Linked DNA regions of Macaca mulatta. The protein of the gene in region 2 purifies or fractionates together with the protein of the main gene of each other region. This does not show direct contact. Links are inferred from orthologs where the notes say so. Each region holds a gene or a part of one and is shown on either strand. Other genes may lie near its edges.

Region 1 (3,651 bases), on a different chromosome or scaffold from region 2:
GAGTCTCCACTGTCCTCACAGGTCACCGGTTACAGAACTGAGGCATAGCTTCTTGCCTCTAGTCCAGCTGTTCATCATGCATCCCAGCCACTGGGCCTTAGTACATCCTCATGAACCCACCTGCCCCCTGCACGCCACAGCCCTGCTCCAAGATGCTTGTCGCTGCCCACCTCTCTCCCACCCTGCCCAACCAAGGGGGCGATCCTCACTCCCTGTCTCCACTTCCTCCCCTTCTAGACTTTTCCCTAGGCTGCATCATCTAACTTCCCACCCTATCAACCCCTGTCACTGCCCTCACTGAGGGCTCCAATGACTGCACTGCTGCTAAACCCTGGGGACACTTTCCAGACCTCATGGGATGTGGCCATACCCTTCTGGAATCTCCCTCTTCTTTCTTGAGACCCCAGCCTCTTTGAGTTCTCTGGAGGAGTCCAGCCCTTTTTTTTTTTTTTTTGAGAGTCAGAGTCTCACTCAGTCACCCAGGCTGGAGTGCAGTGGCGTGATCTTGGCTCACTGCAACCTCTGCCTCTGGGGCTCAAATGATCCTCCTTGCTCAGCCTCCCAAGTAGCTGGGACTACAGGCGTGTGCCACCACAGCCAGCTAATTTTTTTTTTTTCTGTATTTTTAATGGAGATGGGGTTTCACCATGTTGGCCAGGCTGGTCTCAAACTCCTGACCTCAAGTGATCCACCCACCTTGGACTCCCAAAGTGCTGGGATTACAGGCGTGAGCCACCACACCCACCCGAGCCCAGCCTTTCTAAGAGTCCTCACCAGATGCCTTCACGTAAAATCCCTTGCTCTATTTGACCTTAAATCATGTGAGGCAGACTCAGTAGCTTATGCCTGTAATCCCAGCATTCTGAGAGACCAAGGCAGGAGAATTGCTTGAGGCCAGGAGTTTGAGAACAGCCTGGACAACATAGTGAGACCCCATCTCTACAAAAAAATACAAAAATTAGCCAAGCTTGGTGGTGCACACCTGTAGTCCCACCTACTCCAGAGGCTGAGGCAGAAGGATCGATTGAGCTCAGGAAGGGGAGGTTGTAGTGAGCCAACACTGTACCACTGTACTCCAACCTGGACTACAGAGTGAGACCCTGTCTCAAAAAAATAAAAAGAGGTTGGGCGTGGTGGCTCACACCTGTAATCACAGCACTTTGGGAGGCTGAGGCAGGCAGATCGCTTGAGGTCAGGAGTTTGAGACCAGCATGGCCAACATGGTGAAATTCCGTCTCTACTAAAAATAGAAAAATTAGCCAGGCGTGGTGGCACGTGCCTGTAATTCCAGCTACTGAGGAGGCTGAGGCAAAATAATCACTTGAACCCAGGAGGTGGAGGTTGCAGTGAGCCAAGATCATGCCACTGCAGTCCAGCCTGGGCAACAGAGCTAAACTCCATCTCAAAAAAAAAAAAAAAAAAAAAAAAAAGCAATGTTGCACTTCCTCAGCGTGCTGGCCTCTGAGGCTGCAAACCTAGGTCCTGAGAGCCAAATGGGATCTGTGCCCTCTGTTCTCCTAGTGGGAGCCTGGCACCTCCCAGGCACCCAGGTATATTTTTTAATTGAATAGAATTCTATTTTGGGGACATACTAATCTTCTGTGAGAGTATCATTGTATATGCATAAAATACTATTCTACGGGAACTGTACTGTTCCTAATATTTTCTGTTTCTATGATTCTTTAAATGGAATGTTTAGCAATTCTAGCCTTCTAAGATCCTCTAATCTGTGGCTCTATTATTAATAATTATTAACTAGCACTTATTGAGCCCTGTTTCGTGTAAGATGCTTTACATATATTATTTTCCAAATCTTATTCCTTGGGACATGAACAGTACATGTTACACAGAAAAATGATTCTGTGGCCTGAGAAGTATGGAAAATCCTGAGTTACACAAAGTTCACTGGAGTTCTCTTCTGCAGAGCTGTACATTGTAAATCTCCAAGAAGAGAATATTTTATATACCATTTCCTGTACTGGGCCCAGGGGTGTGCTGATAAATGTTTGACAACTGGCTGTCCAGGGGAAAGGGTTTGATTTGTAGTACTTGCCAATTTCCACAGTGTAAATACTCTCAACATGTCTCATTTCAAGCTATCGATGTGATGTCATCGAAGGCCAAGACAAGATGGGAGAAGATACTCATGAGTGCATCATTATTTAGTATTTCCATCATACAGATACCATAAACACAGATAACCTCAAAACGTAGTCAAAGGTAGCAAAATAATTAGGAAGCGATGAATTCTGGGAATTTGTTGTTTTTCATATGATTTATTTAATTGTAAGTTTATATAATTTAATTTGTAATAATGGCTGTATTTAACAATCAGCTCACAAATATTCCTGAAAATTTAAGCTGGTTCTCAAAAGCCAAGGTGATACAATCCAGTGCCAGCACACCACTGGCTAGGACTCCATCTTTGTGTGGAACAGCAAAAGAGTTCAGTGTTTCCCAGAACTCATCTTCAAAGGTGCTGTTCTACTCAGAGCAAAGCAACATCAGAAGCGATATTATTTCCGTTTTACAAGTGAGATAACTAAAACTCAGAGAGGTTAAGTGACTTCTACAGGGCAAAAATATCCTTTGCCTTCCAATGGCACCAAGTATATTTTTCCACTCAAAAAAAAAAGTTTTCTAAGCACCTACTCTGTTCAGGCACCATTCTAGGCATATTGGGACTCTGCCAGGCAACTCACACCATGAGAACAATTCATTGGTGACTAGTCAGAGGTTCTTTTTGGCTTTTTAAAAATTTTATTTTCGGGGGTACATGTCCGTGTTCGTTACATGTATATTGCATACTGGTGGGGATTGGGCTTCTAGCGTACCCATTACCCAAATAGTGAGCATTATGGCCAATAGGTTATTTGTCAACGCTCACCCTTATCCCAACCTCCCCTCTATGGGAATCCCCAGTGTTGATTATTTCAATTTTTATGGTCATATGTACCAATTGTTTAGCTCCTACTTATAAATGAGAATATGTGGTGTTGGATTTGTTGCTTCTGGGTTAGTTCACTTAGGTTCATTTAGGATTATGGCCTGCGGCTCTATCCATGTTGCTGCAAAGGACATGATTTTATTCTTTTTTATGGCTGCCAGAGGTTCTTGATAAAAACCTCAGTGTCACACTTAGAGACCCTGGCCAGCACCACACACACCACAAACACACATGCACACACATGCACATGCACACTTGTGTACACATTCTCATTCACATACTCTCACATGCAGCCGCCGCCACCCATTCCCAGTTCACGTCATCTCTTCTTTTCTAGATCAAGTCAAGTGTGAGTCGCAAGAACGCCAAGTACCTGCTCAAAGGAGAATTTGTGGACAAGGTCTTCCGGGTCGATGCAGAAACAGGAGACGTGTTTGCCATTGAGAGGCTGGACCGGGAGAACATCTCAGAGTACCACCTCACTGCTGTCATTGTGGACAAGGACACTGGCGAAAACCTGGAGACTCCTTCAAGCTTCACCATCAAAGTTCATGACGTGAATGACAACTGGCCTGTGTTCACGCATCGGTTGTTCAATGCGTCCGTGCCTGAGTCATCGGCTGTGGGTACGTTGTATGCCCACTCTGTCCTCCTTCTTCTCCCTCCTCCCTCCCTCATCCCCAACCTGGGGGCACCTCTCACAT
Region 2 (3,651 bases):
GCATGCACAGATTCTTCCTAAGTCCCAACAAGGAATCAAGCCTGCCAACACCTCGATTTCAGATTTCTGCACTTCAGAATCATGAGAGAATAAATTTCTATTATTCTAAGCCACCAAGCTTGTCATAGTTTATGTTACAGAAGCCCTAGGAAACTAATATACCTGCTTAATTAGTACTGTGGAATTCTAATAATTTCATTTTCAGTATTAGAAATATTTATCTTCAGCCTGAAAACTGAAAAAATATTTACCACTGAAGGTTATTTGTTCACAAATTCAGAAAACAACTGGAGATGTCATCTCCATCTAAGACACTGCCCATTTTAGGGTACTGCCACAAGGATGAATTTGACATAAGACTCTGGACTATGCAATCTACCATCAGGTATGAAAGATCTATGAAGTTCTCCCAAGGGCTAGTAGAGCACCTGTAAATAGCAGGGCTCAATTTACCTTAGCTGATAGCCAATAACCTAAAAAACCTACAGCATTGTTGAAATTCTCTGACTGGAATAGAAACCTAACACAAAACCACAGGTTTCAAGGGTGGGGGCTGTGGCTCATGCCTGCAATCCCAGCACTTTGGGAGACCGAGGCAGGTGGATTGTTTGAGCTTGGGAGTTTGAGACCAGCATGAGCCACTGGTGAAACCCCATCTCTACTAAAAATAAAAACTGCAGGTTTCGAGAAGTTTACTTTCCATATTTAAAGTCTTCCTTCCACACTTGTAACACAGTAAGGACAATTTTTCTAGCATTAATTACTGGTAAACTGTGGATTACCATTTTACTTTTTATCAATTCTGAGTTTCCCAAAACATGATTCCTTTATGCCCAGATTTATTTAAGTCAAGCTCCAACCAGTGCAAATATGCATGGCTGATTTAACATACTAATCTGACATAACAGAACAATTTCTAGAGTATTTTCAGAGTAGGTATTTTTCTATTTTATCACACCCATCTCTTCAGCATGAATTAAAAAGTATTACATAGAATGAAAGGTAAACTTCTGTCCCACGTTTCCTATCAAATTGTGTTACAACATTTCTAAGACTTAACTATTACTTGAAACACCCAAGAGAAGTGGATTCAGATTCTCCAGATGTCCCTTTGCAAGCATCTCTCATGATTAAAATTTGAGCCAGTCCAACTTAATACATCTCCGATAACTAAGTTACTGAGCAATTGGCAAGCATGAGAATGAGAATTAAAATATGATCCAGTCCAAGTTAATACATCTCCAATAACTGAGTAAGTTACTGAGCAATTGGCAAGCATGAGAACTGAGAATACTGACCACAAAAAAAATCTCCTTCAAACACTTATTTTCTAGAAAGGCCTGCCTCTCTTTACATGAAAAGCAGTAATGACCTACCTTGTTTTCGAACATCTTCTACAGCAGCCACAAGCTCCTCCTTGAGAAACTGGCTCTCCTTCGCAATTTTATCCCCCTTCTCCAAGAAATTCTCAGTTGCTTGTTCAACAGATGCAGCCAAAACATGAGCCTTCTTAGAACGACCTCTCTTCTTATTAGAGGGCCCCTTACTATTGGTGTTTACCAGGGTTGTAACCTAAAAGTTTCATTTTTAACATTAAACTGGAGTCAATTAAAATGACTAATATCTTTAAAGATAGCAAGATTAAGTTATTCTTTAAAAAAATCACATTTATGAGATTCCACTGAGCATTAACATACAATTCCCCATATTTAAGATATACAGCAATGATACTATATTTAATTTCCAAAATAACTCAGCTTTCTCAATGTGTACAGAATTATTTAACACATATTTTAATTTCTCAAATATGATCATTAGGTTTTTAGTTTGATTTTACAAATTAAAAAATGATTAGAGACAAGCTAGATGTCTCTACTATATGTCACCCATATAGTATCTGGAACACTCTATGTTCCAGAAATAGGTTAACAATGAACTTAGCTTTATCTGGAGATCGTACTGCCACTGTTTTCAAACTTTGCAAAATGTTTTAAGATAATTTGCTTCTGAAGTCTTTTCACGGTTTATTCACACAAATCTCAGCAATTTATTAGTAAAGGCCCCTAATAAAGGAATGACTGCCCAAAGAAGCCTACAGTGATGATGCTTTATGTCCTAGAACATTACCATCATTAATACACATAATACCGGATGATCTGTAGGTTAAAGATGATTAAGATATGTTACAGTGCAAATTTGCCAAACAAGACTCATTTTCTCTCTCTCTCTGAATCTCTCACATACAGACAACAGACACACTATTGCAAAACACTAAAGGTACACAGCTAGTTGCTAACAGTTTATGAACTACCCTAACATTGTGACATTTATAACATAATATACCAAACCTAAACCCTCAAGTTCAATTACCTGCTAATTAATCCCACACAATGAAAGGTGTGTTAAGCAGAGTGAGACACCTTAACAATCAAGGATCCAGATCCCACCTTTCTTGGGTTTCCCCTCTAAAGAAAGGTGAAGTATCTGCAAAGCACAAACATTTGCAAAGTTGCACTACATACCACGGACCCCAGTTACTAGCAATAAGACCGAAGAAAATGACCACAGCAGCGTTCTCAAAGGGTTAAACAAACTCATGCATCAATATTCAAATCATCTAAGAACTGTCACCTAAACTCAAGTACTGGAATTAAGGCTTTGAACTAAATAACCTTGCTCTTATGGTTGTTACCCAGGCCTGTACTATAGAACCAGGTTACAATGTATTTGTGTTTTCAGATTCTTACCTGTGTAACAAGAGGCTCCAACAGTCTCTCAACTGCCAGAGTCCTGATCTCTAGACTTTTGGGATCCCACTTGAAGTTTATGTTGCCTGCCTGGACAGCAGTCATTTCTAAAAAAGAAACAAAAAATCAGTCAAGCAAACATCAAACACAAACATGAAATATGTAACAAATCTTCTCCTACTTAAATCTTCTCCTACTTTGGGACTTTTGCATCAGGAAAGTTACATTCACTACAGATGAAAAAATTCTAACTAGCCTGCACATGAGGACCCAGTAAACCTTACAATCTCTTAAAATTTAATCATTTCAGGCTTACAAATACTAGGGGTACTACAAGAGGGCATTCCCAAACACACAGAACGTTTCCCTTTGGGCTTCTCTAGCGCAAGACTTCCTACTTCAGTTCCTACTCAGTTTATCTGCCCAATCTTTTAGAAACAAGATGAAAAGCTAAAGTAAACCTTTTTTTTTTTTTTTTTTTCTTTTTCTTTTTTTTGAGACGGAGTCTCACTCTTTCGCCCAGGCTGGAGTGCAGTGGTGTGATCTCGGCTCACTGCAAGCTCCACCTGCCGGGTACACACCATTCTCCTGCCTCAGCCTCCCAAGTAGCTGGGACTACAGGCGCCCGCCACCACGCCCAGCTAATTTTTTTGCATTTTCAGTAGAGACAGGGTTTCACCATGTTAGCCATGATAGGATAGTCTCGATCTCCTGACTTCGTGATCCACCCGCCTTGGCCTCCCAAAGTGCTGGGATTACAGGTGTGAGCCACCACGCCCAGCCGAAAGCTACTTTCAAAGACATTGCTTCAAAAACGAATACAGAAGATCCTGATTTTTCCTACTCCACAACATTTATGGTATAGTAGTATCTAAAAGGTATGCCTCACTTCATTTTTTGATGG
Region 3 (3,674 bases), on a different chromosome or scaffold from region 2:
ATGTCACACATCTTAAAACAGAAGTCATATTAGTTGTCTTTAAATGGTTGTGTCTTTGTTCCAACTTTTAATCTGCCTTTTCTCAAGGTACATTCAAACTATTAATTTTCTTGTATAACTGAGTCAAAAAGAAAGGCGACTTGAAAACTAGGTACCAAAATAGGGTGAGAAGACTGTGCTGGTAAATCAGATAGTCTTGTAATATTTCCTTCTTTGGATGTGTTAGAAAACAATTGCTAAAAGGAACGTAAATTTCTTTTTGAGAGTATGGCCAAGATTGTGAAATACATTCCTGAGATTTCCAAACTTTTGTACTGGGAAACTTTTTGTTAGAATATCAAATCTATTAAGGGACCCACACAAACTGGAGTCAAATAGGACATCTTTGCAGTTTTTTAATAGCTTCCAATTTACCAGGTGAGGATTCTGTTCTAAGAATCATCAGTGAAGACAACGTAGTGAAACAGGGATTTGCTGTATCATGAGATTCTCTCTAAAACCTTTAATTTACGGAAATCTTTTTGGGGTGGTAGAGGCAGAGAGGAGGAGAATTAGAGGAAGTTAAGATTCTTGGTTGAAAACATAACTTTTAAAGGTAAAGTGGGGGATAAAGGAGGAAAACTATACCATATGTCAAGGGCATTATTTATCATAATCCACATTTTCAAACTCTAAGGAAATTGTTTATAAACAACGTCTGCATTTTTCCTTTGCAAGCACATACAATTTTTAACTTTGAACTTTTTTCCCTCAGAATTACTCCTTGTCTCAAAAAGCTTCAAAAATATCTTTGATTTTTCTTCCCCTATTAAGCGGACTTTGTTTTTTAAAGCATTTTTTAGCTTCACAGCAAAATTGAGCAGAAAATTCGAAGTTCCTATGTACCTCCCCCGTGCCTCCCCATCTCCAAGCAGCCTCCCGGACTACCAACATCCCGTTATCAGTGCTGTACATTTGTCACAAGTGATGAAACACATTGACACATCATTATCCCCAACATACATAGTTTACATTAGGGTTTACTCTCGGTGTTCTACATTCTATGGATTTTAATGTATAATTACATGTATCCGCCATTTTATAGTATCATACAGAATAGGGTCATTACCCTAAAAATCCTGTGCTTCACCTGTTCTTCCTGGCCAACCCAAAATATGTTTACTTTGACAAAGTTGTCTTCAAATAAATACTTAAAAGCAAGGACAAGACCCCTCAAGTTTTAGACAAGTACTAAATTAAGTAGCTCTTACCCACTTGAAAACTAAATGAATGTAGTATTCATCAACAGAAAGCTAAGCGAGAAAAATGCTTTCCCCGCTTTTCCCCCATGACAAGCAAGATTAACCAAAAATATCAGTTACTTAAAAGAAAAAAAGAAAGAAACCAAATGGAAAGAGAATAGAATGCAATCACGCTACTCTCAACAATTTATGTTTTTCTGTTCCTGGATACCTTTTTGAGTGCTTGCGAATTTCAGTCCTAAGGAATGAAAAAAACTGTTTTCTCATTTCAAGTTTTTATTGGTCAACAGCTTCCTAACCGAAAACTCTGCAGTCCTAACACAATACTTTCTATCCATTTTCAAAAATCCAATTCTGGGCATAAAATAGAATTAATGCTCAAGTCAGAAACTTTGTGTTTAGAAGATAAAATAAGAATATTAGGAACCATGAGTAAGAGAAAAAACAAACTTTTATTTTTCCCTTCCTCTCTCTGCAAAACTTCCCTATCCGATAAGGGAGAGCTAGCTTAAATTTACCACAAAGTAAAATATGAGCAAATCCCCTGGAACGAGGAGAACTTTCGCACAGGGCAATTCACTCGAATGTGACATCAGCATTCCTTCTGAGTCACAGTCTGGTCCCCACCCTTTTCTCCCAGGCGACACCAGGCTCCGCATAACCCGGGAGTGGCTCAGGTAAGGCCATCGGTTCCAATGCCTGCGAGGCAGCAGCCAGGCTGGAAATGTCTCCCTGCGCTGAGACGCTGGTGACAACCGCCCTTTGGGACTCCCTGCCAAACAGGGAGAATGCGCGCTTTGACAGATAATTCCCTAAGAGGGAGGCAGTGCTTCGGTAGACAAGTAATGAATGACCAAAAAAAAAAAAAAAAAAAAAAAAAAATTCACATTAGAAGTTATCACCAGCACGGGTGCGAAGGCAGTGCATTAAATCAACACTCATTTTATAGGGCCCCAGGCAGCCCAGCTGGAAGGGAGGAGGTCAGAGCTGTCAAAGCACAGCAGAGCCCCAAACCACAAAGGCTTAATGAAGTTGAACTTCCTGAGCCAGGAAGTGTCACGGTCTCGCCCGCACTCGCCCTAAGCTCGTCCTTTTGAGGAGGCACAGGCAGAGCTGAAACATCTTAAGTAAAGTTTCCAACACCTCCAACCGCTGGGACTCCGTAAGACGGGAGAGAAGAGCCCCGCGCCCGCCCTCGCTCGCGCTTCCAATTTTGTCGCTCTCGAGTTTGGGGAGCTGGCGGGGCCGGCGGGCACCTACTCTACCCAGGGGGCCGGATCTCTGGGCCCGGGACACCGCAGACCCAGAGCCGGGCTCACGCCAGGCGGCCCGCAAGCCCCACCCGCCTCGGCACCTCCGGCCGCCGCGCACCGCTCGACCCGCGCAGGCGAAGCAGCCGCTGCCCGCCACGAGCGCCCCCCTGAGCACCCCCCTACCTTCTTCACTTTGTTTTCCAGGTCCATGTTTATGCGTCCTATGGGTCCCCTCCTCCTCCAGTCCGGGATCCCACGGCCGGGCTCAGCTGGCCTCCGGCTCCGCTGCGGACACGGGGAACCTGTGGAACTCCCACGCCGCCGCCCAGCAGCCACTCGACCGGCGCCGTCGAACTTCCGCCGCCCAGTCCGCCGCAGCCGGCCTGCGGCAGGGACCCGGGAACAAAGAGGGCCGGGCAGCCAATGGCAGCCGGGCAGCCCCGGGCCGCCGCCAATCACCGAGCGCCGCACGCACCTTCGCGGCTCGAGCTCGGCGCTGGCAAGGTGAAGGGCGGGGCCGCGTCCGGGGCGGCGCCCTGCGGGGCAAGCTCGGGGACCCTGACCTGGTCCCCGGAGGATGCTCTGGGCGTCCACGGGCCGCTTCTAAAGAGCTGGGATCCAGCCTCCCTCTAGCTGAAGATAGAGCAGAACTTTTTTCATTTTGGCAATTTGTACCTGTGTTTGCCCAGGACTTTTTATCTGGGTCAAGGGGAATAGGTATCCCAACTTCTCAGTTTATTTTCAAACTAACTTCTCAGTTTATTTTCAGAGCAAAGAGAGAAAAAATAAAAGAAAAAGAGAAAGAGAGAGATTGTAGGGATCGTTAGGGATTCCTGTGATGGACCTTGGGCACTAAATTGACTATTGCGTTGTGGAGATGCCCTTTCCTCGATTGCTTTTCTCCAAAATCCCAAATACTGTCAAGAAACCGCATCTTACATCCCTAACGTCAGTGAATATTCTTAGATTGTTTCCTGAGCATTGGGTTGTTCAAAAGTAAAGATGATGTGAATCACTTCAGAAACAGGTGTCATTCCTTTGGAAGTAGAGGGTTGCCCTTTGTGCTGTGTGAAATGGTGCTAGGCCTATCGCGTGCTCAGGCTTTGATGACGCAGAGTCATCACATTGGTGCACCAGAGCTGAACTCATTTCATGCCCTAATTCAGGAGCAATTGCATCT

Evidence for each region.
Region 1: the proteins of CTNNA1 (region 2) and CDH5 purify together in Homo sapiens (affinity purification with western blotting; 4 studies listed by BioGRID and IntAct, counting the BioPlex papers as one, with this or other methods). This does not show direct contact. The link is inferred for Macaca mulatta from reciprocal best matches to the Homo sapiens genes CTNNA1 and CDH5.
Region 3: the proteins of CTNNA1 (region 2) and TES purify together in Homo sapiens (affinity purification with mass spectrometry; 3 studies listed by BioGRID and IntAct, with this or other methods). This does not show direct contact. The link is inferred for Macaca mulatta from reciprocal best matches to the Homo sapiens genes CTNNA1 and TES.

The regions. Positions count from the first base shown.
Region 1 is NC_133425.1:61,909,624-61,913,274, forward strand, and holds part of CDH5 (cadherin-5), read left to right. Parts: intron 1-3,284; coding exon 3,285-3,573; intron 3,574-3,651. UniProt on the Homo sapiens protein: Cadherins are calcium-dependent cell adhesion proteins. They preferentially interact with themselves in a homophilic manner in connecting cells; cadherins may thus contribute to the sorting of heterogeneous cell types.
Region 2 is NC_133411.1:147,648,336-147,651,986, reverse strand, and holds part of CTNNA1 (catenin alpha-1), read right to left. Parts: intron 2,855-3,651; 5' UTR 2,853-2,854; coding exon 2,748-2,852; exon of another isoform or gene 2,693-2,747; intron 1,599-2,692; exon of another isoform or gene 1,573-1,598; coding exon 1,377-1,572; exon of another isoform or gene 1,355-1,376; intron 1-1,354. UniProt on the Homo sapiens protein: Associates with the cytoplasmic domain of a variety of cadherins. The association of catenins to cadherins produces a complex which is linked to the actin filament network, and which seems to be of primary importance for cadherins cell-adhesion properties.
Region 3 is NC_133408.1:155,768,044-155,771,717, reverse strand, and holds the start of TES (testin), read right to left. Parts: upstream 2,886-3,674; 5' UTR 2,705-2,885; coding exon 2,678-2,704; intron 1-2,677. UniProt on the Homo sapiens protein: Scaffold protein that may play a role in cell adhesion, cell spreading and in the reorganization of the actin cytoskeleton. Plays a role in the regulation of cell proliferation. May act as a tumor suppressor. Inhibits tumor cell growth.